Lytechinus pictus: one gene and its partners. The protein of the gene in region 2 purifies or fractionates together with the protein of the main gene of each other region. This does not show direct contact. Links are inferred from orthologs where the notes say so. Each region holds a gene or a part of one and is shown on either strand. Other genes may lie near its edges.

The links.
Region 1: the proteins of exosome complex exonuclease RRP44-like (region 2) and exosome complex component 10-like purify together in Drosophila melanogaster (affinity purification with western blotting; 3 studies listed by BioGRID, with this or other methods). This does not show direct contact. The link is inferred for Lytechinus pictus from reciprocal best matches to the Drosophila melanogaster genes Dis3 and Rrp6.
Region 3: the proteins of exosome complex exonuclease RRP44-like (region 2) and exosome complex component CSL4-like purify together in Drosophila melanogaster (affinity purification with western blotting; 3 studies listed by BioGRID, with this or other methods). This does not show direct contact. The link is inferred for Lytechinus pictus from reciprocal best matches to the Drosophila melanogaster genes Dis3 and Csl4.
Region 4: the proteins of exosome complex exonuclease RRP44-like (region 2) and exosome complex exonuclease RRP42-like purify together in Drosophila melanogaster (affinity purification with western blotting; 3 studies listed by BioGRID, with this or other methods). This does not show direct contact. The link is inferred for Lytechinus pictus from reciprocal best matches to the Drosophila melanogaster genes Dis3 and Rrp42.

What each region holds. Positions count from the first base shown.
Region 1 is NC_087258.1:25,019,452-25,027,224, forward strand, and holds the start of exosome complex component 10-like, read right to left. Parts: upstream 3,020-7,773; 5' UTR 2,807-3,019; coding exon of another isoform or gene 2,677-2,806; 5' UTR 2,204-2,676; coding exon 2,129-2,203; intron 1-2,128. Other genes in the region: sigma non-opioid intracellular receptor 1-like, read left to right, coding at 2,677-2,806, 4,972-5,172, 6,123-6,215, 7,095-7,306. UniProt on the Drosophila melanogaster protein: Catalytic component of the RNA exosome complex which has 3'->5' exoribonuclease activity and participates in a multitude of cellular RNA processing and degradation events.
Region 2 is NC_087249.1:53,877,122-53,885,022, forward strand, and holds the start of exosome complex exonuclease RRP44-like, read right to left. Parts: upstream 3,020-7,901; 5' UTR 2,883-3,019; coding exon 2,658-2,882; intron 1,537-2,657; coding exon 1,474-1,536; intron 1,067-1,473; coding exon 972-1,066; intron 149-971; coding exon 1-148.
Region 3 is NC_087256.1:31,514,511-31,522,167, reverse strand, and holds the start of exosome complex component CSL4-like, read right to left. Parts: upstream 3,018-7,657; 5' UTR 2,990-3,017; coding exon 2,905-2,989; intron 1-2,904.
Region 4 is NC_087246.1:61,517,032-61,524,631, forward strand, and holds the start of exosome complex exonuclease RRP42-like, read left to right. Parts: upstream 1-4,580; 5' UTR 4,581-4,633; coding exon 4,634-4,729; intron 4,730-6,189; coding exon 6,190-6,303; intron 6,304-7,386; coding exon 7,387-7,566; intron 7,567-7,600.

The DNA of each region.
Region 1 (7,773 bases), on a different chromosome or scaffold from region 2:
TCATTCACCTTTGACCTTGGTCATGTGACCTGAAATGCACACAGGATGTTCAGTGATACTTGATTACTCTTATGTCCAAGTTTTATGAACTAGACCAATATACTTTCAAAGTTATGATGGTAATTCAACAAATACCCCAATTTGGCCAAAGATCATTGACCCTAAATTACCTTTTACCTTAATCATGTGACCTGAAACTTGCACAGGATGTTCAGTGATACTTGATTACTATTAGTCATTTTTTGCCAATTTCCTCTGGGTCCAAAGGTGAAAATTTGTGTTTTCAACATATTTTGAACTCCGTTAATATGAAAACGAAAAGTAGTTCGGACCCAATTTTTCAGGTACTTGTTGGTTGTTAACATGTTAGGTGCCCCAAGGAAAAGCAACCTAGGTCCTAGCTATACTTCATCAAGTTTTAAAAGAGGTAGCTTTAAAAAAAAAAAAACACATTTTTGCCATTTTGGCCACTTTTTGGCAGAAAATATGCCTTTTTTCAAAATTTGAATTGGCCATATCTCGGCAACCCCCCGGCCCTCGTCCAATTTTGATGATCTTGGTGTCATTTTACTCGTGTTTCAGAGCTTATTCCAGTTAAACTATTTAAAACTAGAATTACAACACTTCAAATTTCAATTTTTGGGGTGGCATCCCTATTAATATAAGTAAACCAAATATCTCATAAAAATTAGACAGAAATACATGATCTTCTTGGAAAAAACATTAGGCAGTCATTTTCAGATTGAACAAAAAATTGGTACCCCATGTCTACGCACCCATTCACTTTGCACGCAATTTGGGGATTTTGATGAAAAAGGCTGCTTTTTGAGGCCATCACATGAAATGCCCAAAATTCATTATTTTTTCGTAATTTTGAGTCGAATTTTTTAATGAATATCTTTCCAAATACTGTGTAAAGTCTGTGGTCATCGCGTACTACATGTAGAATCGCGCAGATACGTAGGGACAGTGATTTTCCGCGATCGCGGAAAACGGACGGAATTCACGGATATTGCCTTTTGAAACGGAAAGTGGCATTTCAAACGGAAAATCACGGAAAACATATTTTTCCTCAGAATACACAGAATAGCAACAGTAATTACCCCAAAATCTCAACAAAATACGAATATTAAATGGCTACAAAACCTCACAAAACACGATCTCACTTCACTACAAAGTATGACAATCCACACATCGTGACTGCTCTCGACTCCATCACTCTCGATCGAACCCCCGGGCCTCTCCCGGGTCTTGGCCGGCGGCGGGGTCGGCCGTATCGAAAACATTCACATGCAAACAACACGGTCATGTGTTGCTGCCCTCTACGTTTGAAGATGTAACAGTACAATATTCCGGTCTTAAAATCCAAAATGGCGGATAGGCTAAAGTCGTTGACTGGTCGAAACGATGTCCAAAACCCCCCAAAATTATCTATAAAATTTAATTTAACAAATAATGCTAATAATGTGAAACTGAAAGGTAAGGATGTATTTATGTCAAATATGTTTGTCAAAATATTTTGTGTACCCCATACTAGATCCGATTAACTGTAGTGTTAGCATGGTTAGAGCGGATTCTACTGCGTTGTTGGTACATACAGTGGCAGATACAAATTTTGACCAGCGCGAGTGATATATTGCTCCTGAATGGTAAACGGAATAGCCAATTTTCCGTGTACACAAAGTCTATGGGGAAACGGAATTTCCGCTTTCTGACATGCTGAAAGTGAAACGGAATTTACGATTTTCTGAAACGGAAAAGGCAATTTTTTTAAACGGAAAATCACTGTCCCTAGATACGTGTGTGCGAAGACAAGGAGGACTGCGCAGACGAACTTGCCATACTTTTTAGCTTTCAAAGTACAAACAGAAACTCTAGACGCGGGCAGTGCGGCATGTCATTGTCAGGTGCCTGGCAGGCCAGCGCGCTAGCCGGCGGCGACGGCTACAGTACAGCGCAGCGCTAGCGGCCACAGCAGCATCATCCAGCCGCAACGCTGCGAGTGCGAGGCTTCATCTCATCCTAACCCAGAGAGCTCCCGCCCGCGCAGCGGGCGCCCGCTGCGCGGGCGGGAGCTCTCTGGGTTAATCTCATCCCAGCTCCACGCTGAATTAGTGTGTCAACAAACCTGAGCAAAATCGTTCACACTGGTGAATCCTGGCACATCCGTGACCATCATTTCGTCTCCAGCCTTTTCAGTCATTTTTAAACGGTTGAAAACTTTCGAATGTTAAATCTCTTGTTAGTTTGATTGGGAAATCGTGGCTCAAACTCGTCTCGATCTCATCTCAATCAGTCTCAGCTTGACTGACGCCATCTTCAAAACACCACGTGGGAGCATCGTTGGAGCTTTCTCTGACGTCTCTAGTTCTCTGTACTGTATGTACGGTACTGTACATAAACTTAAAGTCAAAGTCGTCGATTAAATTCTTCTTTCTTTTTTTTGGCAGTAAACAATTCATCTAGATCTATAGCTTTAAAAAGTTCGTGAGCTGTATTTTCTCCAAATATAGCAATGAGTAATCGGTATTTTGGAGAAAAATCTCCATCCTAAATGCTTACTACTTTACTAGGTCACCTGATACCAGTACACTGTCACGTGATTTCATGCATGTACGTGTACTATAATTGGGAGTACCGAGTAGTTGGTTGGAAGTTGAAGTCAGAACAGGCAAAATGTCATTGTCAAAGATATCAATTCTGGTTTTATTTGGTGCCTTGATCAATGAAACCCATCTCTGGTTGAAGACAAAATCGTATCTAACTGATGATCAGACAATTGCAAGAATAGCAGAGAAATTTGTTGGTAAGAACTAATCAGCAATTCTACTCCCAAATGCATGAAATGGGCAAGACAAAACCAAAACAAAACTTTAATTAAAGCCAAAACAAAAGCAAACTGAAAAATATTTAAAGCCTTAAAAAGGCAAAATGATTCCACTTATTTCCAGCAGTCCAGCTCTGGGCCTCGGGAGGCGCTGGGGGGGGGGTGTACAATGTCTGTGCTCTTGAACTGAATATTTGTACTACTACTAATTTACTCCTGACTAGTGACTGTCATCATAGACTAGTCTATGTCATGATGGAAAGACTGGAATTATATTCAGTAGACGTATACATGTACTCGAAGTACACAGGGGCCGCGGAACGGTTTTCAAAGTGGGGGGGCTGACCATGCAAAAAATCACAATCCTATGGTCATTTTTACGTTTTTGTACACGGTTTTGACTTTTGGAAAAAAGTGGGGGGGCTGAAGCCCCCCCGGTTCCGCGGCCCCTGGTACATGAACGAAACTCTGAATTTCGTAAATTGCGGATCAAGACAGTCAAGAGCCTCGAGCGCCTAATACTCGACAAGTCATGCAACCCTTTTGTGGGAAGACTAAATTTGCATATATAGTCTATTGCATGGGGATAGGTGTTTCCAAAATTGGGGGAAATTTCTATCTTTTTATTTTCAAAACATTTTTTGTCTCGCCTGCATAGCAGAGCGAGACTACGAGGCGCCGCTTTTCATGTCACGTCGTCAACATTGAAATGTTAACCCAGGTTAAGTTTTTGAAATGTCATTATTAACTTAAAAAGTATATGGACCTACATGTAGCTCATGAAACTTGGACATAAGGATAAGGGTAATCAAGTATTACTGAACATCCTGCCTGAATTTCAGGTCACATGACAAAGGTAATTTAGGGTCAATGAACTTGGACCATGTTGGGGGAATCAACATCAAAATCTTAACCTAATTATATAAGGTTAAGTTTTTGAAATTATGTCATAACTTAGAACATATATGGACCTAGTTCATGAAACTTAGACATAAGGTTAATCAAGTATTACTGAACGTCCTGCTTGAGTTTCACGTCACATGACCAAGGTCAAAGGTCATTTAGGGTCAATGAACTTTGGCCAAATTGGGGGTATCTGTTGAATTACCATCATAAATTTGAAAGTTTATGGATCTGATTCATTAAACTTGGACATAATAGTAACCAACTAGCACTGAACATCCTGTGCAAGTTTCGGGTCACATGATTAAGGTCAAAGGTCATTTAGGGTAAATGAACTTTGGCCAAATTGGGGGTATTTGTTGAATTACCATCATAACAAAGTTTATTGGTCTAGTTCATAACTTGGACATAAGAGTAATCAAGTATCACTGAACATCCCGTCTGAGTTTCAGGTCACATGACCAAGGTCATTTAAGGTCATTCAACTTTGGCCATGTTGGGGGTATTTGTTGAATTACCATCACAACTCTGTAAGTATATTGGTCTAGTTCATAAAACTTAATTGGACATTAGAGTCATCTATCACTGAACATCTCATGCGAGTTTCAGGTCACATGACAAAAGTCAAAAGGTCATTTAAGGCCATTGAACTTTGGCCATTTTTGAGGTAATTATTAGATTGCTGTCATAACTTTCAAAGTTCATAGATCTATATAGTGTATAAAATGTATATATGGGGTCAATATCATTTACAAGTTTTAGGTCACATGATCAAGGTCAAATATCAATGAACGTAGTATTGTATCATTATATGAGTGTTTTTTTTGTGAATAATTATTTTATAGTAGTTTTCAAAGTCAGCGCTGCTGCTATATTGAATCGTGTGATGCAGGTGAGACCGCCAGAGGCATTCTACTAGGGGGCAATTCCGTAAAATATGTACATCCGACCCCCTATATGTGGGACCTTCATGAAGTTTTCTGTCTCTCATTTCTTGTTCTTTTGACAGTCTGTAGGTTAATGTTCTCAAAGGGCCATGGCTTGGTCATTTTATGACGTGAAGTAAGACTTGAGAAAAATGGGGGTCAGACGTACAAAACGGTTGATCATTTTATGGAATAGCCCTAGGGTATATATTTGTTGCGGAATCTTCTCGTGGGGGGGGGGTATCCCAGGGGATTTGAATTGCTTCACTCTAACTCATCAAAAATGTACATAACAATTGTATTTCTTTCTGACAGGACTTCCACACCAAGATGCCTTTGACAAGGTGGGTGAGGTTCTTCGGGAGAGATACCCTGGTCACATCCTACCCAAAGAGAGGGAGGAATGGATCTTCATGAATGCCGGTGGCTGGATGGGGGCCATGTGTCTCGTGCATGCCTCGCTCACCGAGTATATTCTGTTCTTTGGCACTGCGGTGGATACTGGCGGTCATTCTGGTGAGGAATAGAAGATAGTCGTTTAAGCTGATCATTAGGCTTGTTTGATACTTGGGTAGGGTAGCTTGCTGATGTAGTAAGGTCGGGGCCTCGTGGTCGAGTGGTTATGACTCTCGTCTTTCATACTGAGGGACGTGGGTACTGTACGATCCCAGCCATGGCATGTTTTCCTTCTGCAAGAAATTTACCCACATTGTACTGCACTCAACCCAGGTGAGGTGAATGGGTACCCGGTAGGAAGAAATTCCTCAAATGCTCAGCTAGACCGCCTATATGGGCAGTTTAGCCAAAGCCGTGATAATAATAGCAGCGCTTGTATCCTAAGGCAAACGGGGCTTGACAAATCCAGCTATTATTATTATTAAGAGAAGCATTGGAAATACATTAGGAAGACAAGTGATTTTTTTTCATGACAGCCAAAGTAACCCCTAAAATTTGCAAACTGAAATGCTTTGGGGTGTAATACCATCTTTTCTTAAGTTGCCCCAATATATTTGCAAGAAAATATTATTCAAGAATATTTAGAAGATCAAGATTCTACGTACAGCAGAACAATGAGAAAGACTTTTACGGCATAAGTGCTAGTTGAGCTAAAAGGAAAAAAAAGTAGTCCTTAAAAATAGAAAGTCTTCAAATTCAGCAATCGTCCCAATTTGGCCCAAAAAACTGTAAAATGAAAATTGTTTCCTATCAGAGTAACATATTGTGCTTTTTTTATGGATAATAGGTTTTTTTTTTTTTTTTTTGAGGGGATCCAAAAACAGACAATTTGCAGAATTGGTTGCCAGGGGGAGGAGAATATTTTACTTGTTCTATAAAAGCATGAGTACATGTAAACTTGTGCGAGATCAAAGCAACCAAGAGTATTGCAAATGCATTTTTTTTTCATTTTAGGGTGAAAAGGAAAAGGTATTAATTTCTATATCACTCTATTTATTGTTTATTCACAGGTCGATATTGGGCAAATGTTTCTGACACGATCATAAGTGGGAATTTTCGGCAGTGGAAAGAAGGAACAACCGAGAGTGAAGAGTATGGACCGGGTAAGAACCATCATTCTTTGAATCTTAGTATTTCAATTTTTCTTATTAAATTTGTACATTTACTGCCTCCATCATTCTAACATCCTCACAGGACAGTGTTGATTATCCAAAGTGGTTGAAGGTTCAGGAAAATTTGTGTGTCCCAGGAAAAAAAGGAACTTGTTTTCAAAGATATTACAATTATCAATATGTTTTGATTACAAATTTGAAATCAAGATGAATATTTAGGGAATCCTATATGCAAGGTATACCACATTATAAACACTAAAAATTGAGCCATGTAAGAACGATTTGTGCGGAAACTCATTTGTAAACCGGTCTTCACTCTGATGCAGCGAATTCGTGAAAGAAGCATAACAAAGGACAGTGAGAAATGCTATTGACTATTCCTCCTTAAAACCCTTTTGTTGTTTACTTGACACATCTTGACTATTTTAGGTGCAACTTAATCCTAACATTAAATCATCAAACTCTTCTTGTCCATCTTTCATATCATGACATTATGAGGTAGGCCCCTATCCAAATAAAGAAGAAAAATTGCAAATTAGGAATGAAATATCATTTTATCATTAAAAAGCTAAGGTGGGAAGATAATGGTGAATCCTGTTTTCTTTTCTTTTTCTGAGAGGCACTGTACTCACAGCTTCAATGATTTCATTTACGTTGAATAGAGAGGGGTAGGGTATAATCAACTATAGTAATGATTAAAAAGGGTATTTTTCTTGGAACGTGTTTTCAACAAAAATATCCCAACAATTCATTATCATCTTGCAATAGAGAGCTAATGCATAGATATTGTGAAGAAGTACAGACCTTTCATTTGTCTGAGATCAACAAACCGACTCTCATTTATTTTTTTTCATTTTCGGTTGACGATAGGAGTCACACTACTCCATGCTTGGGGTGAGGCCACTTCCGTCCAGTGGACCGCGGGCACCTGGATGGTTGAATATGGGCGTGGTTTTATACCCTCCACCCTCCCGTTTGCCATTTCCGACACAATCTTCAGTACCCAAGACTTCTACACCCTCTACCGAATCGTCAGGATCTACGCAGAGGCACTGTTCCAGGAACTGCTATGTGTTCTTTGATGATGGTTTAAGATTGTTAGTGGATTAGTTAACAGAATGGGGAAGGGGGGTGGTTAGATTGACAGTTAATTTGGTTAAGTTTGTTTTTCCTATTGATATACTGATGGTTCATAAGTTCAAAGGTTTTTAATTTAAAACATGAAATAAGGTTTGATACTCTATAAAGGTTGGCCAAACCATTGGCAGATCCAGGGGGGCACATCTGGCCTGTGCCCCCCCCCTCCTTTTGAGATGCATAATCAAAATCTGTAATGTAAATTGGCCGTTCTAACACAAGTTTGCTCCCCCCCCCCCCCTTTTGAAAGTGAGGACCTTTTTTGTTTGATGGAGATTAAAGCAACTCTATCTGAAATAGGACCAGCATCGATTCTTTTTATTAGCATTTGATAGGTAGGCCTAAGGTACCATCTTACTAATCAAAATTGCTACCCTTCAATAGATTTTTAGAAATGTTTGAATGAGTTCTG
Region 2 (7,901 bases):
GTCTCTATTATCAACATCATTGGTGAGTAGGACAATCTTGATCTTAGTGTCTTTGAAGTGATTATCATACCAAGTAAGGCTCTTCCGTATTGCTCTATCGTTGAAGTCATTAGGAGATTCCTTTGGTTCGATCTCAATATATGTCTCTCTGAGGAAAAGAAAATAATGATAAAGGATGAGTTGTGATCTCCAAACTGGCGCTCCAGGGAGCATTTCATGAAACTAATACATGAAGCCAGCAATTTCCACTGAAAATGTTATAAGCTACTGAAATCCTTGCATCTGATTGGCTCTGCATAGTCTGTCAGTGAAATCATTCAAAAGAAGCTCCATGAAACACTATACTGGACTGGTCATGTTTAATAAAGCTTGTTATCGATGGCAACTTGCCACTACAATAAGCTAAAGCAATCTCGCCAAGTTAATTAAATGGCTAAGAAGATATTCATTACTAATTTATGGTATTTCATTTTGGTAACAAGTTTCATGATAGCTAGTCCCTAATGCCCACTAAGTAAAAACATGGGCAGCCAGGCCTGTGGGCAACAGAAAATTTTATAATACCAGTGTTGTAATACTTCTGCCTGATCATAACCTGGCAAAAACAACTTGACCTGATTTATTTCAAAGCCATGTTATGCCACTGCCTTGACCTTCTTTAATAATAAAAATACATGTGCTACATGTATACACTTATCAAGCACACTATCGTGCAGAGGAGGTACATGGCATAAGCCTATCGATAAACCTTTCTCTTTAATAAGAGTAAGGAAAATGTTTACTTAGGATACCAAAATGATGATAAATATAATACTTGTATCCAGCATTATAGTCACATGGAAAAATTCTGTATTACGGTATGGGCATTTATCTCTCTGACTTTGAAAATATTTTAAAAACATAATGTTAATTGTAAGATCCACAACATTGACCATAAATGATGATAAATCAAAGTGAAGTCATATCCTCACCTGTGGTGTTCATTTGTGAATACATAGAACTTTTTTTTGTCATTTGCAATGAGATCTCGTATCCTTTTGTACGATGGCAAACTTCTGTGTTTGACCTGAAAATAGAAAGTGACATTTTATTTAGTATTAAGACTGGCGCATTTTATCACAATTAATGTGATTAAAAAGCAGTCTTGAATTGAACAGAAAACTCATTTATCTCCCAGTGACAAGATGAACTACCAATACAACAGTGTAAGACAAAACCTAATAAAATAGGCATCTAAAAATCAATGCGATTTCAGAAAGCACTTTCAGATATTTAGCTATAAAAAGCTTCTTACAAATGAGAACTTATTTTTTTACACTTATGTAAGATTTAGTGGCATCACTACCCTAAATTCTCATCTTTGCAGTCCCTTTATCACAATATACCATCTTGAAAACACCTTCACCACAAGTCTTCTTTTTATATAATTAATACACACATAATTTAATCAATAAATTTGTATTTAGCCCATACCTCATTCTGAACTGTCTGCAGGAGAATGACATTTTTAATTGCTTTGTCCTCCAGTATATCCACCTGTGAAAGATAGAAAAAATACCCTTGAGAAATGTGCATGTATAGATACAAATGTGATGTGGGAGTTGTACTTCTGGGCCCTGTCTTACAAAGAGTTATGATTGATCCAATCAACCACAACTATGGAAAGCCAGCAACGTCAACATCTAAAATACATGTTTGTTCAAAATTCCAGATATGATGCATATTCATACATTCACTGTTTTCTTGACAATTCAATATGCTTCTCATTCTATTCAAAGGACATTGTGCAAATTTCCTAAAGAAAAAATTATGACATTGATGAATCATACTCTTTGTATCACCCACCCACCCTTCTTCGATCGCCGTCAGCACAGCTACAGCTGAGCATATGAATGAGCTGTAGCTGACGGCGATCAAAGAAGAACCTGGCTGATCCAAATATGTTTGTCATCAAAATTTGCTATTTTCCAGCATATTTTTCAGAAAGGTGGTAAGCTGATTGTATTTTATATCAATTCATCTTAATTATTTCTTCCTTTTCCCCCATCATAAAGCAAAATTTATGAGTAATAGAGCCTAGAGGGTGCAAAAGTGTACCCTGGCCTTAGTTTCTCCAGACGCTGTACTGTAAGTGTAATTAAGCGGAGGTTGTTTGCTCCACCATTACGAACCTAGCTAATCATGCAAATGGCCGTCATCCGTCTTTGTAGTGTAGGACCAAAAAATCTGAAAATATTGAAAAACTACTCCAAAACAGCAGATTTATCAGTCTTCGTCAGACCATACGGCATTATCCACCACTCCATTCACTGCCGTTTATTTTGTCATGTTCATCAGTGGCGGCGACTTTTTTCATCTCCCATTGACTTTACTAAACAACGAGCGCACACACACACTGATACACACGAGAAGAAAGGTGACTTATTTCAGGATAAGGACGACCACATTTTAAATTTGATTGCAACTTTTGCGAGCAAGCCAAGAATAAATCATGTGACCACTCCACTGTCCACTCACCAGTGTTTTTTTTTTTTTTTTACTTTTCTTTTGCTAGGCCCTAGTATTAAATCTTTGATGTTCCAACCATGCCAACTAATTGAGCAGCCATTAATTGCCCACAATCATGAAATCCTATTCTTTTCAAGAGGACAGCTCACCTGATGCAAAACTACATTTGTATCAAGAAGGAGATAATGAGGATAGCGGCACAACGTGTTTGCCACTTCGGGCACGGGCTCCTTCTCCAAGACCGGCTTATCCATTGAGCATTTGGAACAAACAGCGGATCCACACCAAATATCGTCCCTCAGATAGTGCTCCCTCACAACCTTCATCACTCCTCCTTTCCGAGTCTTCTTCACAAAACTCCTGGAAGTCAGCATGGTTGACTTACTGACCTTATTCAAAGATCACAAAAACCTAAAACGTTGAAGAAAAACTTAATTTCATGAATGATCTTCTCCGTCGGCACAAGACATTTGCACGCGAGACCATTATGTTTACCATTTGATATGGTGTCTTCGATCACGATCAAAATGAAAAATTGGGGCAACCGTAGCGTAGGGGAAGGCGGGGTAAGTTGAGCATAGGGGCAAGTTGAGCCACCACCTCCCAGAAGCGGATCTAAAGGGGGGGTTGCAACCCCCCCCCCCCCAAAAAAAAAAAAAAAAAAAAAATCCGGGGACCATTTTTTTAAATCTTATCTTTTTTTTTTAACTTGTAATTCCATTTTCACACACAGATTTTCAAAAATTTTCCCTACTGTGGGAGGGGGGACACCCCCTCCCACACCCTCCCCCCTCGCTCGCTCCGCTCGCTTGGACTCGGTCGCTACGCTCCCTCGCATACCACCCCAACCCCCCCCTTTATAAAAAGCTGGATCCGCCCCTGACCTCCAGGCCAATAATAGATGAGTCAGACATTGTGGTGGTGTCATGTATTGATAACCATTACATAACTCTTAACCCCACCACATTGTTTTCAACTTTGAAACAAAAAGTACTTTTTTAGAGGGAAAAATACAAATTTCAGCCAAAAAAGTAAAAAATGGTGTGAAATAGATCACTGCTTTTTACCCACACACGTCTTTAAGTACAACTGTATAATAAAGAAATAAGAACAAGATTGTTAGTCCAGGTATGGATTCTCATTCTTGTCATAGTCTTTTACATGATGGATGCATAAGAAATGTGTGGATGTGAAAATATCGCATTAAGTTCCGACTGGGGTAATTTCAGCCAGCCAAAATGGGGCAAGTTGAGCAATGGTAATTCGTATGGTAATGTATAATCAAATGATTAAACAAAAACCTTAAAAAGCCATTGATATGCAGGCAGAAAGGAGCAAATTCACATGACAGTTCTTTTACTTTTAGAGGATGTTAGTATTTATAGATATAGCAAGTGAAAAGACTTTAAATAATAAATTGACGTGCGGGTTCGCATACAATTTGTACATAGTTTTTGTGGCTCAACTTACCCCAGAAGGTGGCACAACTTACCCCACAGATGGGAAAAGTTGAGCCATTTGACATCGTTTTTTTCAAAGGTCAGAGTGTCTTTTAGTGTGGGGGTAGAGAGTTATATATAGGTGAAAAATATTTCCAAATAATCAAATTAAAAGGCATGCAAGGTACTTATTTCTACAATATCATTAGTCATATCAGATCTAACATGCAAAATGCAAAAAGTGTCACAACTTACCCCGCCTTCCCCTACGTACCGATCAAAGCTGCGAATCGTCTGGAAATCGAGCATTAAAATGAGCAAATGTGCCGGGGGCAGGCGTGGATTAAGCCGGGGAGGGGGCACAGGGGGCACGTGCCCCCTCCCTTTGAGAAGCAAAAATTAAAATTTGTAATGTAAAAATGCCATTAAAACATAGGTGTGCCCCTATATTCCTTAAAGGACAAGTCCACTCCAACAAAAATTGATTTGAATAAAAAGAGAAAAATCCAACAAGTAAAACACTGAAAATTTCATCAAAATTGGATTTAAAATAAGAAAGTTATGACATTTTAAGTTTCGCTTAATTTCACAAAATATTTATATACACATCCTGTTTGGTATGCAAATGAGGAGACTGATGACGTCATCCACTCACTATTTCTTTTGTATTGTATTATATGAAATATGAAACATTCTAATTTTCTCCTCATTGTCCAGTGAAACAACACTCTAAAAACAAATCAGTCAAAAATGACTGGTTAATTGGGTCAGCTGGGTGCAACTGTTATTCTAGTCATATTTGACTATTTTCTAGTCATATTTTACTAGAATAGAGTTATTTCTGACTAGAATATATGTCAGAAATGTGACTATCAGTGATTGCCATATCAGTTGCTCCCAGCTGACTACTGGTCTAGTCAATTTGACTGATCGGTTTTAAGAGTGAATGATTAATTCCTCCATGAACATGTGGAATTAGCATTGTTTAATACTATATTATTCAGTCAGGTCGGTCCCTATGGTCAAATCTGTAAAAAATGAAATATTGTATAATTCAAACAATAAAAAACAAAAGAAATAGTGAGTGATGGACATCATCGACTGACTCATTCGCATGTCACTGAGTTGTGCATATCACTGTTTTGTGAAAAATAAGCGAAACTTTAAAATGCCATAACTTTCTTATTTTACATCTGATTTTGATGAAATTTTCAGTGTTATGCTAGTTTGATTTTCTCTATTTATTCAAATCAACATTTTGCTGGGGTGGACTTGACCTTTGATTGAATATCTTTTTTTTTTGCTTCTCAATTTTTTTTCTGGTACGAAATACCCTTAATTTGTTGCTGAAAACCTTTTTTTGGGGCTCGTCAAATTTTTTCGGGTACAAAATATCCTTTAATCCTTTATTTTAATCCGAAAAAAATTGCCCCCCCCCCCATTGGAAAATTCTGGATCCGCCCCTTAGGGATAGGGGAAGCAAGGGGGAAGGGGCAGGCTGCCCCCCCCCCCCCGGTGGATTTCACCGGGAAAGCGAAAAAACGGGAAAATAGAAAAGGGAGGAGAAAGAAAGGGCACATAGTAAAGGGAAAGGAATTAAAGGGAGAAAAGAGGAAAGAGGAAAAGGCAAAGGGTAAAAGTGAAAAGAAAACTAAGAAGAAAGAAAAATGGGAAACGGAAGGAAAGCGGGAAAAGGAACGAAAGAAGAAGATGTGAGAAAGAATAAACCATTCTGAAATAGCATGATACATGATTGAGAAAGGGATATGAATTAAAACATAGGCGGATCTAGGGGGGCCCGAGGGGCCCGGGCTCCCCCCCCCCCCCTATTGGCGGAGCAAAAAAAAGAAAAAAATGAAAAAAAGAAAAAAAGAAAGAAAAAAGAAGAAAAAAGGAAAAGAGCGGAGAAAAAAGAAGAAGAGGAAGACGGGTGAATTAAAAAATATTGAAATGAGGGGAAAACTTGGAAAAATAAAAAGAATCTTTCATGTCACTATACAAAATTTTCGCTGGCGCATCGCGCTCGCATTGCCTGTTAGGTGATTTACATAACTAACTTGTTCAATATTGAGCTTAAATACCAAGTTTGGAAGTCAATATACAAAACATATTTCACCTCGGAAATCGAACTTTCATTATTTTGTGTGATTTACAAATTGATTTTTATAAAGTGCTATGTAAAAATGTCAGTTATTTGAATATTAAAATTTTCTGCTCGCGCTGTGCGCTCGCAAATTTTGATTTATCAGGTACTTATTATTTTCGTGAATTCCATTAAGTTTTTCAAAATATCCCTTTTCAGGTCTGATTGTCAAAACGTATCAGCTAGCGCTGCATGCTTGCATTTTGATTGGCGATTTATGTTTGTGTCAATATTGATTACACAACAAACTACTTAAAATCTCCTTTTCATGACAGTTTATCAAAAATTTTGGCTCGCGATTTGCACTCGCATTAATTCCGCACCCACATTATGCATTTATAAATAAGATATCAATTTAATAATTAAATTGTCCCTTTTGTTTCATCTCGCGCTTAGCAAGAGGAATAGAAAAATAGTCATCATTTTCAAATGATGACATGTCCTAAGGATTTCCCAGTCCTTTGTCAAAACTAAAAAAAATAATAATGATGAAAAGTATCAGCCCTTTATTAAGTGCGATCCATATCCACCTCACAATTTTTCTACAAAGTGCTTGCCTATAGAGCTGAAAATGACCCTTTTTTAAGATCGGAATATCAAATATTTTATGCTCGCGCTTCGCGCTCGCTTTGATTTTCATGATAAAAGATGTATTTAGAATGCCTAGATTCTTGGATTAAATCTGAAACACGCGCGTGCATCTGCTCGCGCTTTGTGCTCGCATTATTAATGTAGGAAGATCCCCTATTAGTCACCCTTTTCATGATTTACAAAACATGAACAGAGTGTACCATTTTTAGGTCTAAATCTCGAATTTTTCCGCTCGCATCAATAATTGTTTAGTTATATGACAGTTTATCAAAAATTTTGGCTCGCGATTTGCACTCGCATTAATTCCGCACCCACATTATGCATTTATAAATAAGATATCAATTTAATAATTAAATAGAACTGTTGATTTCCATGCCCAAAATCCAACAGCCATTTGGCTATGCCCGCTTTGTGATATGATGAACTTTGCTAGCTCATTTTTTTACTCTTCACTTGACTCTAATAAATCTACAGAATCTATATTGAACTTAAGTGGGTCTAACTCCTTTGAAAGTCTTACGTCCCTTAATGAGGGCACCGAGGACGTTGAACTACGTTATGACCACTGGAATAAAGTAAATCATCAAGCCCAATTCGTACCAGTTCAGGACTAGGCCCCCTAAATGATTCTAAAGTCGGAGTTGGACGCCGTGAGAAAGACCTAAGAGTAACTCCACTGAAACTTACAAGAACCAGCAACAGTTGGACGATTGTTGGAAAAAATGGAAAAAGTAACATTCCAACTGATAGAACTTCACCAACAAATAGACTTTCTTGCCTAAATGTCAACCGTCAACTGGAAACAAATAGATCTAGGAGTATATGTAGGACTATCCATAAAGCTCATCGGAATATGAAGAGCGATAAAAATGCAACAAAAATTGCCATCATTAACTGTCGCAGTGTAAGGGGAAAAACTGCAATGCTTACCTCGCTTATTGAAACTGTAAATCCTGATATAATCATTGGTACTGAATCCTGGCTAGATCAAACTGTTAAATCTGCCGAAATCTTCCCAGCTCATTTCCAAATTTTTAGAAAGGATAGGAATTCGCATGGTGGAGGTGTCTTCATTTGCGTTAACAGCTCCATCCCTTGCTTTCAAAGAACTGATTTAGATACTGAATCCGAGCAAATATGGTGTCAGGCTACCCTACAAGGTCAGACTCTGCATATAGGAAGCTTTTACCGACCACCTGATGCTAAAACTTCCCCTCTTC
Region 3 (7,657 bases), on a different chromosome or scaffold from region 2:
TTTACCCCCCCCCCCCCCCCCGCGGACAACTACACTGTAACCCTATATCCAAAATTCTACACCTAACCCTATTTCGGGGTAATTGTCCTGTGGTAGGTTTGTGCACAGGGTAAAAATGACTTGATATGGATTTCTTTTGCTTGAACATTAGAAATTAAATTTTCAATGAATATAATTCGAAATAAAAGAAAGAGAATTAACATAATAATCTCAGAATTTTTAGGAAAAAAAATAAAGAAAGAATGATTTCAATCTTTGTTCTTTCCCTCCTTTATTTTGTATTATACATTGTTGTCATTTGTGTTATTTTATCTTTGTTTGCAAGGGGTCATTTTTAATAAGCCATCATTTGTGCTTTTTATGATGCCCCACTATACTAATATGTATTAAACATTTTATTGATTTGTATATATTGTTGCTTTTTAAAGTGGAAATAAATTGAATTGAATTGTATATTATTTCATTATTGTTATTGTGGTCTCAATATTATTATTGTCTCATTATCATTGTTTCATTATTGTTGGCAAAATTATTATTATAATTATAATCATAATTATTATTATCATTATGATAATTATCATTGTCTCATTAATATCATTGTCTCAATTATTATTACAATTATTATTACTATCATAATTGTTATCATTACAATTATTTTTATAATATTGATTATTATTGATATCTCATTAATATTATTGTCTCAATAATTATTACAATTATAATACTATCATAACAATTATAATTGTTATCATTATAATTATTTTATAATAATTATCATTGTAATCATAATAATTATTATTATTACAATAATAATAAATTGTAATATTAATATTCATTAAATATAATAATATTTATTCAATATTTTAAATATTATTGTAATAATAATTATTATTGTCTCAATAATTATTACAATTATAATTATCATTATAATCATAATTGTTATCATAATCATCTTCTAATATTATTATTAATATTGTAATAATAATATTGTCTCAATAATTATTAGGCCTATAATTATAATTATTTTTATAATAATTATTATTATTGATGTCTCATTAATATTATTGTCTCAATACTTATTACAATTAGAATTATTATAATTATAATTGTTAATTTGTTATAATTATCAAAATAATAATCATTATGGTCTCAATAATTTCATCATTATTGTCTCATTAAGACATTATTATTAATGTCTCATCATTATTGTCTTATCTCATTTCATAATATCTTCAAAATAGTAATTAACACCATAACAAGGTCCATAATCAGATATTAAATTCATGAAACATATCTCATACATGTAGACCTATTTCTAAATCAAATTCATGAAAGGAGCTTTTTGTGCCATTCAAAAATACGACTTCGATTAACAATACCATATTCTAGACATTCAGACACATTCTAACAAAAAAATCAATAATCAAACAAAATTCTTGAAGTTTACTTGCAGTTTTGTTCTTAATACTTATTTCGCACAAATTCTACAAAATTATTTTCAAAATAACAATTTAAAGTTCAAAATGAACAGAGCTCAAATCGTAATTAAAAAATATACAACGGCTGAAACATACTGTGTCTGAATACCCAGACTAAACTCGAGCCCATCGCAGCGGGGATGACGTCACTCACAGCTGTTTGTATACGCTCAAAACAACCCTGCTCGATCGGCCGAGTCAGATTCACAAACACCTTACAACACTCACCGCTGGCTCTCTACGGACCAAATTTGATTAAAATTTAACAAAATGTTCTCAAATATATAATTTCATTACTGACCGAGTTTACATGAGATCTCATGATTACAAGAAGGCGATTTCAAGCAAAGAAAAATAAATACCTTAATATTAGGTCCTTCCCTCGCAAGAAGGTAAGTACCTAGGGATACCTAGGGAAGTTTCTGAATGTAGGCATGTTATGCCTCTGTATTCAGACAGTTCTAGGTTTTTCCTCCTCAAGATGGCTGGCTCACTTCCGGGAACAGGGCTTTCGTAGTCATATTTTATTGGCTCATTTTTCCAGCATCTATCCAGGGCAGCTTCAAAACTGTGCACACTTGGGGCATTGACAACTTCATTATTTAGGCTATTCCATGTCTTACGTATTCTAACATAAAAAGAATTCCTATATTTCCGGGTCTTTGTCCTTGGTATGAACAGTTTTTCACTGTGACCTCTGGTATGTTCACTATATTTTTCTTCTAAATTAAGTTTTCTACATAGATCATAATTATTAAAGTGTTTATGTTTCAATCATGTCACCCCTAACTCTTCGATACGCCAGAGTTGGGATTTTTAACTGTTTAAATCGTTGTGGATAGGAAAGCTTCCTTAATTCTGGGACTAATTTTGTTGCCCTTCTTTGTACGTTCTCTATTCTAATGCATGTATATGTTTCTTCAGTACGGGGTTCCACACAGCATGGGCATACTGAAACTCCTTGTTGTATATTTCCGATGTTTACCGAAGATGTACGAAGCAACCGCGGGAATTTTTGACCAATCAAAATCAGCGGAATAAAGGAAGAAACCGACTCTGTAGTCTGTTTTTTCGAGCAATTCCAAATGCAACTCAGCTCTAGGGAGTCTAGCACTCGGCCGAAGACGTGCCGAGCGGAGCAAACTGTGTGTGTTAGACATGCGCTCGCCATTCACTGCAATGCAAAAATCTACATCTAGCGCTCTGTCCGCACGATCGCTCACCCGAGTGAAGTGCCTATTAACAAATAACAGTAACAGGCCTAGGACATAAACCAACACGAAACTATATAGGTGGGGCAGGCACAATTTAGTTCCAACTCAAGTCAGACTTAGACTAGAGTCTAGACATAGTTTCACAAATACTTTCAAAAATATCAACAATATAGTAATCCCTCATATTCACACATTTCTATTTATCATCTTACCAGGAATACAGATTCGATGATGATCCCTAAACTTTTTAATTTCCTCATGGTCCACATCTCGTTGGTGTTCACTGTGGGCTGCCATCTTGAATCCTGTCTAAGTAACTGTTACTGTTAGATCAAGGATGGCGCTATAATTTTTCGCTCGGGTTTTAAATTTAATTGAATGATTCCTTTATTTTGTGCTGATATTTCACAGAAATAGTCCTTATAGGGTATAGCCACTTTTCCCTGTCTCAATACTTTATTTTATGTTTGGTTATTTGAGATCGAAGGACCGTGGGGGCATGGGGGGCATGGGGGGCATGATGCCCCCCTTCTGATTTCGGCCCCTCGGCCGTCGTCGCGGTTGACTTGACAGGCACATTGGGTGTGAAAAAAAATCTACAATAATTGTTTTTTAATTGCTATGGACAAAATATACAAATTTATTCGTGAATTATTTGACACTCATGCAATTTCACTTCAGGTTTTCATTTTTTCGGGGCCGGGGGAGATCCTAATCAATTCTCGGGTCAATGGTGAAAATGATATGCTTGTATACTTTAATATTTTTATTTATTTATTTATTCATATTTCACCAGGGTAGCTCATTCAACAACAGTTGATCTTCCATGAGACCCTGGATAACAAAAAAATCAACTATATACAATTAAAAACAAGTAATTGTGATAATACATATGCAATCATCAGTTCATATTGTTAATATACAGACGTATAAGTGACAGCATTATGTACAGTAATATTCTACTTTTTTATTAAAAGGCATCCAGCTTAAACGAGTAAACATTTAATTAGAGGGAGTGTATATATTACAGTTTAAAATAAGTCTTGCTGCCCTCTTTTGCAATTTAGTCAACTTTTCAATTTGACCTAAACATCTATTCCCTCACATTTCACAAGAGTAATCAATTTGTGTTTGAATGAGACATACATACAGTGCGTCCCAGAAAAAAACGAAACCGAGATTTAGCGATGATTTATCATAACTTAAGCATAAATAAAATAGACAAATGACCTACCAATGTAAAGCTTAGAATCTCCTCTTTCATCTGGTATTACTTAGATTATTCCTCATTCACGCATGATTAGGCAAAAACAATTCGAAGAAAGGATGCCAAAACTCATTTGGCGGGGGGTATCTGAATTTCAAAAAGAAAATCACATGACTAAAAATTTCAATATCTTCTCTTTTCTTTGATACCTAAATCACAGAAAATTGTCAGGTAGTAAAAAAGTTATGATCCCTCGAAACAATGCTTGTATTTCCATAATTTCATTAAATAAACGTGTTTTCACCGGTTTCCCACAGAAGCTATCGCACGGTAACAAAAGACTTAATGCATGGCTGATCGTTAACAAAACGGAGTGTCGAGTGAGTTTGAACGCTTGCCTGTAAAACCTCTTCATTTTATGAAATTATTGAAAGTCAAGCCTTATTTCAAATAACCAGAACTTTGTTATTTCTTGACCATTTTCTGTAATTGAGGTATCAAATTAAAGAACAGATATTGAACTTTTAAAAAATAAGGTTTTCTTTTGAAAAACCAGATACGGCCCGCCAAGTGACTTTTTGGTATCCCCTTTTCAAATTGTTTTTGCTCACTCATGCGTGAATGAGAAATAATCTAAGTAATTTCAGATGAAAGAAGAGATTCTAAGCTTTAAAATGGTAGGTCAGTCATTTGTCTATTGTATTTGCGATTAAGTTATGATAAATCATCGATAAATCTCGGTTTTGTTTTTTGTGGGACGCACTGTATAATAATTTCATTGAAGCTTCATCAACATAATTATGGCTTGACTCTTCTGAGCATGGCAAGTCCTACAAACACTTGTCTACATACATAGTCAACATGATTGCACCATAACAAATTATCATCAATAATAACACCAAGACATTTAAAACTATTACACATTTCAATTTCAATACTTTCATACTTCATAGAAATTGCACTTGTCTATCTTTTAATACCTTAAGTTTTATTTTTACTTCCAATGATCATATATTTGGTTTTATCATCATTTAAACATAGCTTATTTCACATGTTTAACTTGATCCACTTAGCGATAGCATCAACATTATTCTGAAGTTTTACTTGTATTTCATAAATAGACGTATAGCACTTACATATAGGATCATCAGCGTACATTTATAACTTTCCATGATTCAAAACTTTTAACACATCATCAATGTAAATCAAAAAAAGTAACGGACCTAATATAGATCCCTGTGGAACTCCAAGGGAAATACATCGATCATTTGATTTAGCATTTTTATCGCAACATATCGTTTTCTGTTATCTAAATACGAATCAAACCATGCTAAAGACAAATCACTTAAACCAATATTCTTTAATTTATTCAATAAAATCATTAACACTATCAAAAGCACGTCTTAAATCAATGAAAAGCGCTCCTGTAAGGCACCTCTGTCTATAGCATTTAACCAATCATCAGTTAAAAGAACCAAAAGCCAAAGCTGTAGAATGGCCCGGTCGAAAACCGAAATGTGCTATGCTAAGAATATTAATGGAAATCAAATAGTCACATAAGTTACTGCTAATGGACAATTTTTTTTCAAAGATCTTGCTTACAGTCGGTAAAATAGAAATTGGTCGAAAATTGCAAACATAATAAAAGTCACCTTTTTTAAATAATGGGAAAACCCTTAGCATACTTCCAGTCATCGGGAAAACACCGGATGCAAAAGACAAATTAATCAACCCCGGGTTACCTCGTTATAGAAGAAACGATAAAAGCTTTAGATTTTATCTTATTTTTCATTTTCCAAAATTTACAATGAACATTGTCACGTTCCCTTATCATTTTTCTAATGTCAGCAGAAATCAATGGGAGTGACTGATTTTTAACTTTTACCGACTTCTTAGGAGCGACTTTGTCCAAAACATGAATAAAAATTGTTTTCCATGTTCTCCAAAATTCATTAACATCACAAATATCCTTTAATTTATGCCATTGCGCTGAATCAAGAAGAGTATATAATTGATCTTCGACAGCATCTTTTTGGACGGTAAGTTATCGTTTTAGGAAAAAAATATTGGTTATAGAAGCTAGAATGTAATTTAGTAAATTTACGTATTAAATAAATCATATAATGATCACTAACAGATGTGAAAATGCAACCACGCTAGATTACTCTTAAAGAGCGAGTTGTAAAAGCGAGATAAATGATTGTAGAATAATTACTTGTGACACGTGTAAAGGTTTCAATTAACTGAACGAAATTGTACGAGCTCATCAAATATTCTAATTTATGATACAGGTACAAATCCTTCAATATTGACTGTAATCACAATTTAGATCTCCTAAAATGAGTACCTCGTCAATTGAAGTATTGTACGAGAAAATTGATTCCAAACTTTGTTCAAAACTGTCAAAAAAAAGAAACATCGCTTGACGGGGGTCTATATAATGACCAAAATACTTTTCTGAAAAGATAAAGTGATATGAAGACATGTCATTTCTAAATCTTGGTTTTCAAGGTCATACCTTCGTGTATAAAAAATATCTTAACAGATACATACACTACTACTCCTCCACCGTGGCGTGTTCTATCCTTGCGTTCAACCCTCAACCATCGAGATAAATCTCATCATCAGATATTGAATCATCACAAAAGGTTTTATTAACGCAGAGAACATCAATGGAATTGTTTGACAAAATATAACGAAGTGACTCGATTTTATTGACAATACCCCTGACATTAATACGCAAAAACACATTTTCTTTCGGTAATTAAGGAACTTTGCCATCCACAAGATTGATTGATTTTGAACATTTATCAATAAGGTAATCCCGGGAGACAGTAGGTCTATCTGAAGCGGTAAAAGACATAATCTTCAAATAATATTGGTAGCCTCATTATCGTCTATATCATGAACAGATTTAAGTTTGTTATTATCGATCATTTAACTCGTTGCGTACATTTAAAGTAACCCTGGAGGCACTCTCTTCTTGGCCACTATCTTAGTACATGTTCAGGGGCAGATCCAGCCTTCGCCAATAGGGTGGGGGGCGGATTTTTTTTCAGCCATATTTTCCCCGATCGGCCGCTCGAAGATGATTTTTGTTTGTTTCTTTACAGGGGTAGTCCTAATAGTCACTTCTTAACTTTATTCTCATAAATCAACATAAATATATAATATCATAATGCGTATTTATATAATGCAAGCGCGAAGTGCGATTTATTTTTTTTGTAAATTATATATATTTTGTCCTAAAATTTGAACATTATGGGCAATGTTTGCTATCCTGAAAAAAATGTATGCAACTAAATAATTACTACGAACGCGACGCGTTTGCAGAAATTTTTAATACACGTTTTGAACTGATCGAAGAGGTATTGCAGTTAGCAATGAAGACGTTACATATTTAAACAATCAAATAATGCGAACGCGAAGCGCGAGCTGATTTTTTTTTCGACATTTCTACCTAAAGAATGGAAATTCTATGCACTTTTTGTATACTCAAACAGGATAGGTATAAAACTAAATAATTGATGCGAGCGTGAAGCGTGAGCGGAAAATTTCGAGATTAAGACCTAAGCACGAGAATCTGTATTCATGTTTTGTAAATCATAAAAAAGATGAGTAATTGGGATCTTCCTTACAGTAATAATGCAAGCGCAAAACGTGAGCAGAAAATGTTTATATACAATTTGAACTGATCGTTAAGGACCTGTTAATGACTGCTTGCACTTAGCGATGAAGATGTTACATAATTATTTCGA
Region 4 (7,600 bases), on a different chromosome or scaffold from region 2:
TCTATTTTGTCTTGATATATGAGACTAGTTCAGTCCCATACGCTGATTTTTCTGTTTGTAATTTTCTCTAGCTCACACTCTGGCATAGACAGCTGGCAGCCGTCTGTTTCGAGGAGTTTTTTAACATTTTTTTATTTTTTAAGTTTCTCCTCATACACAGACGGCTCGCTATTGTGCAGCCACCATTAGGGGACTTACAATGCAAAATCCCCCTGTCGGGGCTCTTCAATTTTTGTCTTTAAAAAATAAAAGTTTAATGAATCAAACTTTTGTTATGAACACTCCTAGTACCAATGAGGTCCAACATTACATGTATGGACCTCATAGGCGACATCAGTAGTATTTTGTGTCAGAAATCTTTGTGAAGATGATTATTTTTGTATTTTATCAAAACTACAAGCTATCGTACTGTCTAATCATTACATTTCGATCTCACTAATTGAATACATTGTTAGCAATAAAAAAAATTGAAAGAAATGAAGGGGAACTTACATTTTCACGGCTTTTTCCTGATTTTCTGGGCAACTGCTCCTCTCTTCTGACTCGCGATCGAAGCTGATATGAAGATCACGTGATTCGCGTTCTCGTCAGCTGATCGGTTGGTTATTCTTTTCGTCAGACGTTAATAATATATATTTTATAATGCTAGCATTCATCGCTAATTTAGGTGAAAGAGATTGAAGTTAAACAGCGCCAGGTCGGAATCATAATTATTTTGGAAGAGTGTATTTATACACTCGATCTCATACCTGACGTAGACGGCGCTATTCAACAAATGCACAATCTTCAATATAAAAATAAAACAGAAAGAACGCCTTGAACACAGGCCAAAATGCCGAACGATTTCTCCGCGGCATTAACAACTATCGTAAAGGGCGCTCCATTTATCAATAAAGATGGACGCTAAGCTGTCTATGGCGACAAAATTTGCCGCAAATATTTACGAAGAATTGTGAGAAATGGTCTGAAAATGCAACAAAAGAACCGGTGAGTACCGATTAAACATTATTAAATTTATAAATAGATTATACATACCTTGTAGATTTAGTTTTTAAGGTGATATTAGTGCTTAGTTCTAAGCTAGAGAGGCCCAAACGCGCGTGAGTGGAGTCCCAGTTTATTAGCACGGGTAAGTATTGGGGTGTCGCCTAGAGTGGTTATGAAAATTAACCCGACCGAAATGCAAATTAATATTCCCTCTTGGCATTAATTGCCAAAAAACGGGGAAAATCAAGTTAAAAGGAACAAAAACAGTGACTTACCTCGGCTGTCGCGCAACTTCACTGCCCTGTTTTATCCGAACTTAATACACATAAACATATGGCCATTGACGATTGAGTCCCCTGTACACACCACTCCTAGTACCAATGAGGTCCAAACATTAACATGTATGGACCTCATAGGCGACAATGCGTTAAAAACAGGTTAGAACTTCTAAACGTACTGTTTCCTGCACCCAAGTATGATATTACTCCCAAAATATGAGTTTTGTCCTCGTTTGTTTATCATTTATTAAAAGATTGCCCATTAAATATATTCCTATTCCTAATTTGAATTTAATAAAATAAAGGGAAACTTACATTTGAGTCATTTTTCGATCTTTTTTTGGCAGTCAGTCCGGTCACCGTCGAGTGCGATCAAAGCGGTATGAAGCTGATTTTCAGATCACGTGATACGTGTGGTCATCACCTGATCAATCGACTATCCTTTTTTAAAGACCGCAACAATTATAAATTTTATTATAAAATATATATAGAATGAATAATTGCATGATATTATATATATTTCTACAATTAAAAATATTTTGTGATATGAATTTAATATTTGACGTAAAAATCGCTATTTAACAAAATATTTATTAAAAATAAAAAATCAAACAAAATAAAAACGCCTTGGACACAGTGCAAAAAACCTAACAATTTGGCCGCGTTCTTAACAACTATCGTAAGGGGCGCTCTATTTATGAATAAAGTTGCATATGTAGTTGTCTATCGCGACAGGAACAGCCGCAGAATTGAAGCCAGAAGCGTGGGAAATTGCCAGAAAATTCAAGAAAAGAACCGGTGAGTACCGATTTAACAGTACTAATTTATTAAGTAACATTTATTGAATCATTACAAGATTTATTTTTTAGTAAAACAAAGCTTAGTTCTAAGCTAGGGCGGCCCAAATGCGCGTGAGTGGAGTCCCAGTTTATTAGCACGGGTAAGTATTGGGGTGTCGCCTAGAGTGGTACACACCTGGGGCCGATTGCACGAAAGGGTCTTTCCAAGGACCGTCTTTCGTGTCGCCCATCTTTTATGATGCGCTATAAGCGGGGTGTTTCTGAAATTTATGATAAACAAATAAAATTCGTAAGCTAGCTTTTAAATCAAATTTTATACAATTTCATGAGATATCAGTTTTTATCACATCATTTTATAAAAAAATATTTTTGTTTATTCTAACGGACAAATAAAATATATTTGCAGATAATTTATTTGAAATGCGTTTCACATGGCGTATCATAAAAGATGGGCGACACGAAAGACGGTCCTTGCAAAGACCCTTTCGTGCAATCGGCCCTTGTTCACTGCAACCATCCTGCCTGTGGGGAATCTACAGGTAGGACTATGGTATGCCAATGCTGTACATAGCACATACTTTAAAAAATCATTAAAATATCACTTTTGTTACCAAAATTACTAATTTCCATACAGTTGCAATTTATTTTTAATTAGTAACTTGGGAATAATTTTTGTGTTCACCAGAGCGCTCAAAAACTTGAATTTTTGGCATATTTTTGTGTGCGCCCTCTATAGGTGGAAAGTAATATGGCAAGAAATTTTTCATTTTTCAATCTCTATTTTTAATTAAGAAAAAATAATTTAAAGAATCAAATTTACATAAGAGCCAAGTTATATGAGGAATAGATGTATCGGAAACTGACAGTGTAAAAAAATCAAGCATTTGTCCCACAGAAAAAGAGAAAATAAGCCAAAATTGCCACCCTTATTTTGCCACACATGGAGATGTAACTGAGAACAAGGTTATATCATAACCTTGTTCATTGAATGAGTGCCTGTACAGATCGCGCTAGAAGTTCGGTCTCTGTATTTGGTGAGTGAAGCCAACGGCAACGGAGTTCAGCTGAACAACCAACATAACTAATGTTGTAAATCGGATCAAAAATCAGATCGAAAATTGGATCGGCAGTTAAGCTTCTAAAATCGAAATCGAATCGGCGATGTTTAAAAACAAAGGAATACATCAAAATTTTGTTCGCGGTCGCGCGCATCTTCCTGACAAAGTCACAAAGACGAATGTTTAGGAATGGAAGTCGTCGACATGCGCGATCGTTTGGAACATGCTTTTAAAGGAAAGGGTTTTGAGGTTTAACTGCTTTACAATAAAATGAGTGATTTTTATTAGAAAGATAAACGAATGACGCATCTTCCGAGCAAAGTCGCAAAGGAAAATAATTGTCGTAGATCACATGTCAATGAACGATCGGCGGGACATCTTTTATAAGTATTTTTATGTGAAGCTGAGCTCAGCTAAGTTCGCTCATTATGATGTGTGATTACAGCCACGCCCAATAACCATTCCAAAGTACACCCATTTTGTTATAATAGCTTACTTGGTACATCATTTCTCCGAATCAGTTCTGGGAAAAGTTAAGTCACGCCTCAGTATCAATCTTTTTGTATACCGGTACTCACCCACTCAACAATATCAGTGAATTACGCAATGCGCGCAAGCATTCACACAATACAAGATAGTTTTGAGGCATAGCCGAGAACTGGAACCGCCCAGACTCAACGGGCTAGTGCAAAATTCTTTACACTACCTTTTGGCATGTGCACGTGGTGGGTTTGATTGACACTGCTAACAGTGCTATTCTTTGAGTTGGCTCACTGGCTGGATTAATGACAATATATCACTGCAAGTATGGCTTACATGATACATAAAACACGCAACACATCCATACACACTGCTCTCAAACTCCCTTGCTATTATTCGTCCCTATAGGCCATGTGTGCACTTATGTGCGGGATTTAAGCATGGCATTGACTAGCATATACAACACATCCACGCACCCCAGCATTCATATACCATAGAGCTGTTAATAGCTCCATGCATATACATTTCTCAAACTCGCTTGCTATTCGTCCATTGTGTGAACTCATGGGCGGGATTATGACAAAAATTAGCGCAAGCACTAGGTACGTAATACATACAATACATTCCTGCACCCACGCGGTCACACAGATCTCAAACTCCCTTGTCATTCGTCCATTGTATTCACTCATGGGCGGGATTTATCAGCGTAAGCACTAGCATACATAATGCGCACAACACAAGCAGTCACACACAGCTCTCAAACTCCATTGCTATTGTCCATTGCATTCACTCATGGGCGGGATTTATCAGCGTAAGCACTAGCATACATAATGCATGTAATATTCATGCAGTCACACACAGCTCTCAAACTCCCTTGCTATTGGTCCATTGTATTCACTTATGGGCGGGATTTATCAGCATAAGCACTAGCATACATAATGCGTACAACACATTCATGCACCCATGCAGTCACATACAGCTCTCAAACTCCATTGCTATTGGCCATTGTGTGCACTCATGGGCGGGATAAATGACAAACACAGTACAAGTACATGTTCATTGTTTGTATTATACAATACATTCATTCCAAGTTCCACTCCCACCATACCAGTCAGCGCAGCTACCGGTAGGTCATCATAAGTAGGTCAACCTTTTATGAGTCATTTCTGACATTCCAGGAATCTCGATTGTTCGAAACTATTCGATAAAAAAGCTCTAAATAGCTAGCACCTCCGCAAGAACAATCTTATATATTATACATATGAATATGTTCTGACCGCACTGTAACTAGATCTACAGGTATGCCGATTTTTTATATCCGATTTTTTCCTTCAAGGGGCATGATCGAAGATCGGCAAGTGATCGCCGATTGTTGTGAAATCGAATGGAATCGGTTGCCGATTGCAAAATCGGTTACAAGCTTAAACATAACAGAGACCGAAGCTTTTGGTCTAACTCTGGCACAGCTAGCCTGGAGGCGTCTGGGGAGTAAAAGTCATCTACTCTACGTAGGCTTACTCCCCACTGATGCCTGGGTCGCCAAGGTATATTCACGCAATCGCGCAATTTGCATGCTGTCGCCAAGCGGAAGACAAAGAAATCAAGATGGCGACGTAAACACGGCCGTAAGCTCTTCCCATCTTTTCATAACATTTTTCTCGTTTTTTTAATGAATTCTTCTTTAAAAACGAAATCAATATTGCAGAAATGTTGGAAATGAAGTTGAACCCCATGTACATGTTTTAGGGCTAGATCTTTTAGAGGGAAAGTATAAATCTCGGGGGCGAAAGTTTCAGGTTTTGTGGCCGTACGTGCGTGAATATACCTTTGCGACCCAGGCGTCAGTGGGGAGTAAGCCTACGTAGAGTAGATGACTTTTACTCCCCAGACGCCTCCAGGCTAGGCACAGCTGCACAGTCTGCAATTCAATCACCTTGTTTGAACTGTGTTGACAGGAATGAGTCTGTAGTAGACTAATAAATCCGCTGTTTCGGAGGAGTTTTTCAACATTTTCTGATTTTTTTTGTCCTACACAGACGGACGACGGCTTGCCTGGATTCTGGAGCAATTTACCGCAAATAACCGTTGGTGTTGCTTAACTACTACTACTACTAGTACAGGGACTATGGAGAAAGGGAGCGCTTTTGCACTCCTCGATTACTCCTAAATTTTGCTTTTTGATGGGGGAAAAAAGAAGAAATCATAAAGATAAATTTATATCAAATATAATCAGCCTACCACCTTTTTGAAGAATAAGCTGGAAAATAGCGAAATTTGATGACAAACAGATCAGGATCAGCCAGGTTCTTCTTCAATCGCCATCAGCTACAGCTGAGCGAACGGATTGGCTGGCACTTCGTACACTCAGCTGTAGCTGAGCTGACGGCGATCGAGCTGTCAAAGAACCTGATCCTGATCATATTGTCATCGAAATTCGCTATATTCCGGCATATTTTTCAGCCACATATATGAATTTAGAAATTTTAGGATCTCTTACCCTCTTGGATGACCAATGCTAAATATTCATTTCACTTTGATATCAGCAAAGTTAATTTTTAGGATTTATTTTACCTCTTTTACCTTTAGGATGACCTGCGGTCGGATGGGAGGACATGCCTGTCTTATCGAAACTTTGAATTGGAATGTGGAGTAGTGTCCAACACAAGTGGATCTGCAAGATTGAAGCTTTCAAACACACAGGTATGTTTAACTGGTAAATTGCCAAATGGGCTATTCCTGCTTTGTGTACTTTCATCCTAAACTGGGTTCCAAAAGAAACTGATCAAACTTTACAAAGGCACTGCACAGATTCCACTCGGTCAAAATGAACAATATTTTTACATAGGCTACATTCAATAATCTTTACCAAGCACATGACAATAATTAAGAGATTGGCTCAATCACAGAGAGGCTGTAGCCCTTCACGTCAATTGGACACAAAGTCACAAAATGACAAAAGAAAGACAAATGGAAATGAGATGGAATTAAAAAAACTTCCCAGCTTATTACACATTTCTTCGTGGGCATGTTTTAGTGATTGGCTGAATCACAAAGACGCTACAGGAAGTTTACATCAAAATTTTAAATGACTGGATCAATCACACAGAGATCCCCGCAGGCTGTCCCAGTAAGCGGGGGGGGGGGGGGGGGGTAATCTGAACATGGTAAGTATCTTTGTTTGGCTGTGTGAGATACACACAGCTATCATGGTGTTATATTGTTCAATTGAATGAAATTAAATGGAATGAAGTATAATCTTTGTGCTCAGAGAATTGACCAAAATCATGCATAGTAACTGATGGCTCAAAGATTCAGTTGTACTTGAAAAACGCTTGTCTGTTAATTGTTTTAAGTAGAATTTCTATCAAAACATATGTTCGAAATTCCTACTAAATTTTCCAGGTTATTAAAATTGGCAATTTGAATAGCATGATAGTGTGATGCTGCATCATTATAAATGTATCAGAATTTTCCACCCTTTGCTCTCTTGGTGTTTTTTCTTATGCTTTCACCCACCATAGATGGGTGCTGGGGGCATTGTGTTTTCAAATACTGACAAGGTCAAAGGTGGCAAAGGTCATTATTTGAAAATTTCAGAAGTAAGATGCATTTTGAATTCTTGATCTTGCAAATAAAGAAGCATATTTGAATGCATGCAGTCAAAAATCCACCTAGATCCTTTATCTTTGGCGTTATACTTATGTTCCTCCCTATCTTTTTTATTTTGAACACTTTTTTTCTAAATTTGTCACTTTTTTTCTTAATGTGTTTTTAATTGGAAAGGTTTTAGTTGGTGTTAAAGCTGAAATGGGACCACCTAATCAATTAAATCCTTCCCGCGGCACAATAGAATTCTTTGTAGACTTCTCAGCCAACGCATCACCCAAATTTGCCGGGCGGGGCGGAGATGAGCTGGCAGGAGAGATATCCAACATGCTCGGGCTTGTCTACAAAAATGAAAAGGTAGGACAACAGCATCTTCAAAAGTTAATTTCAT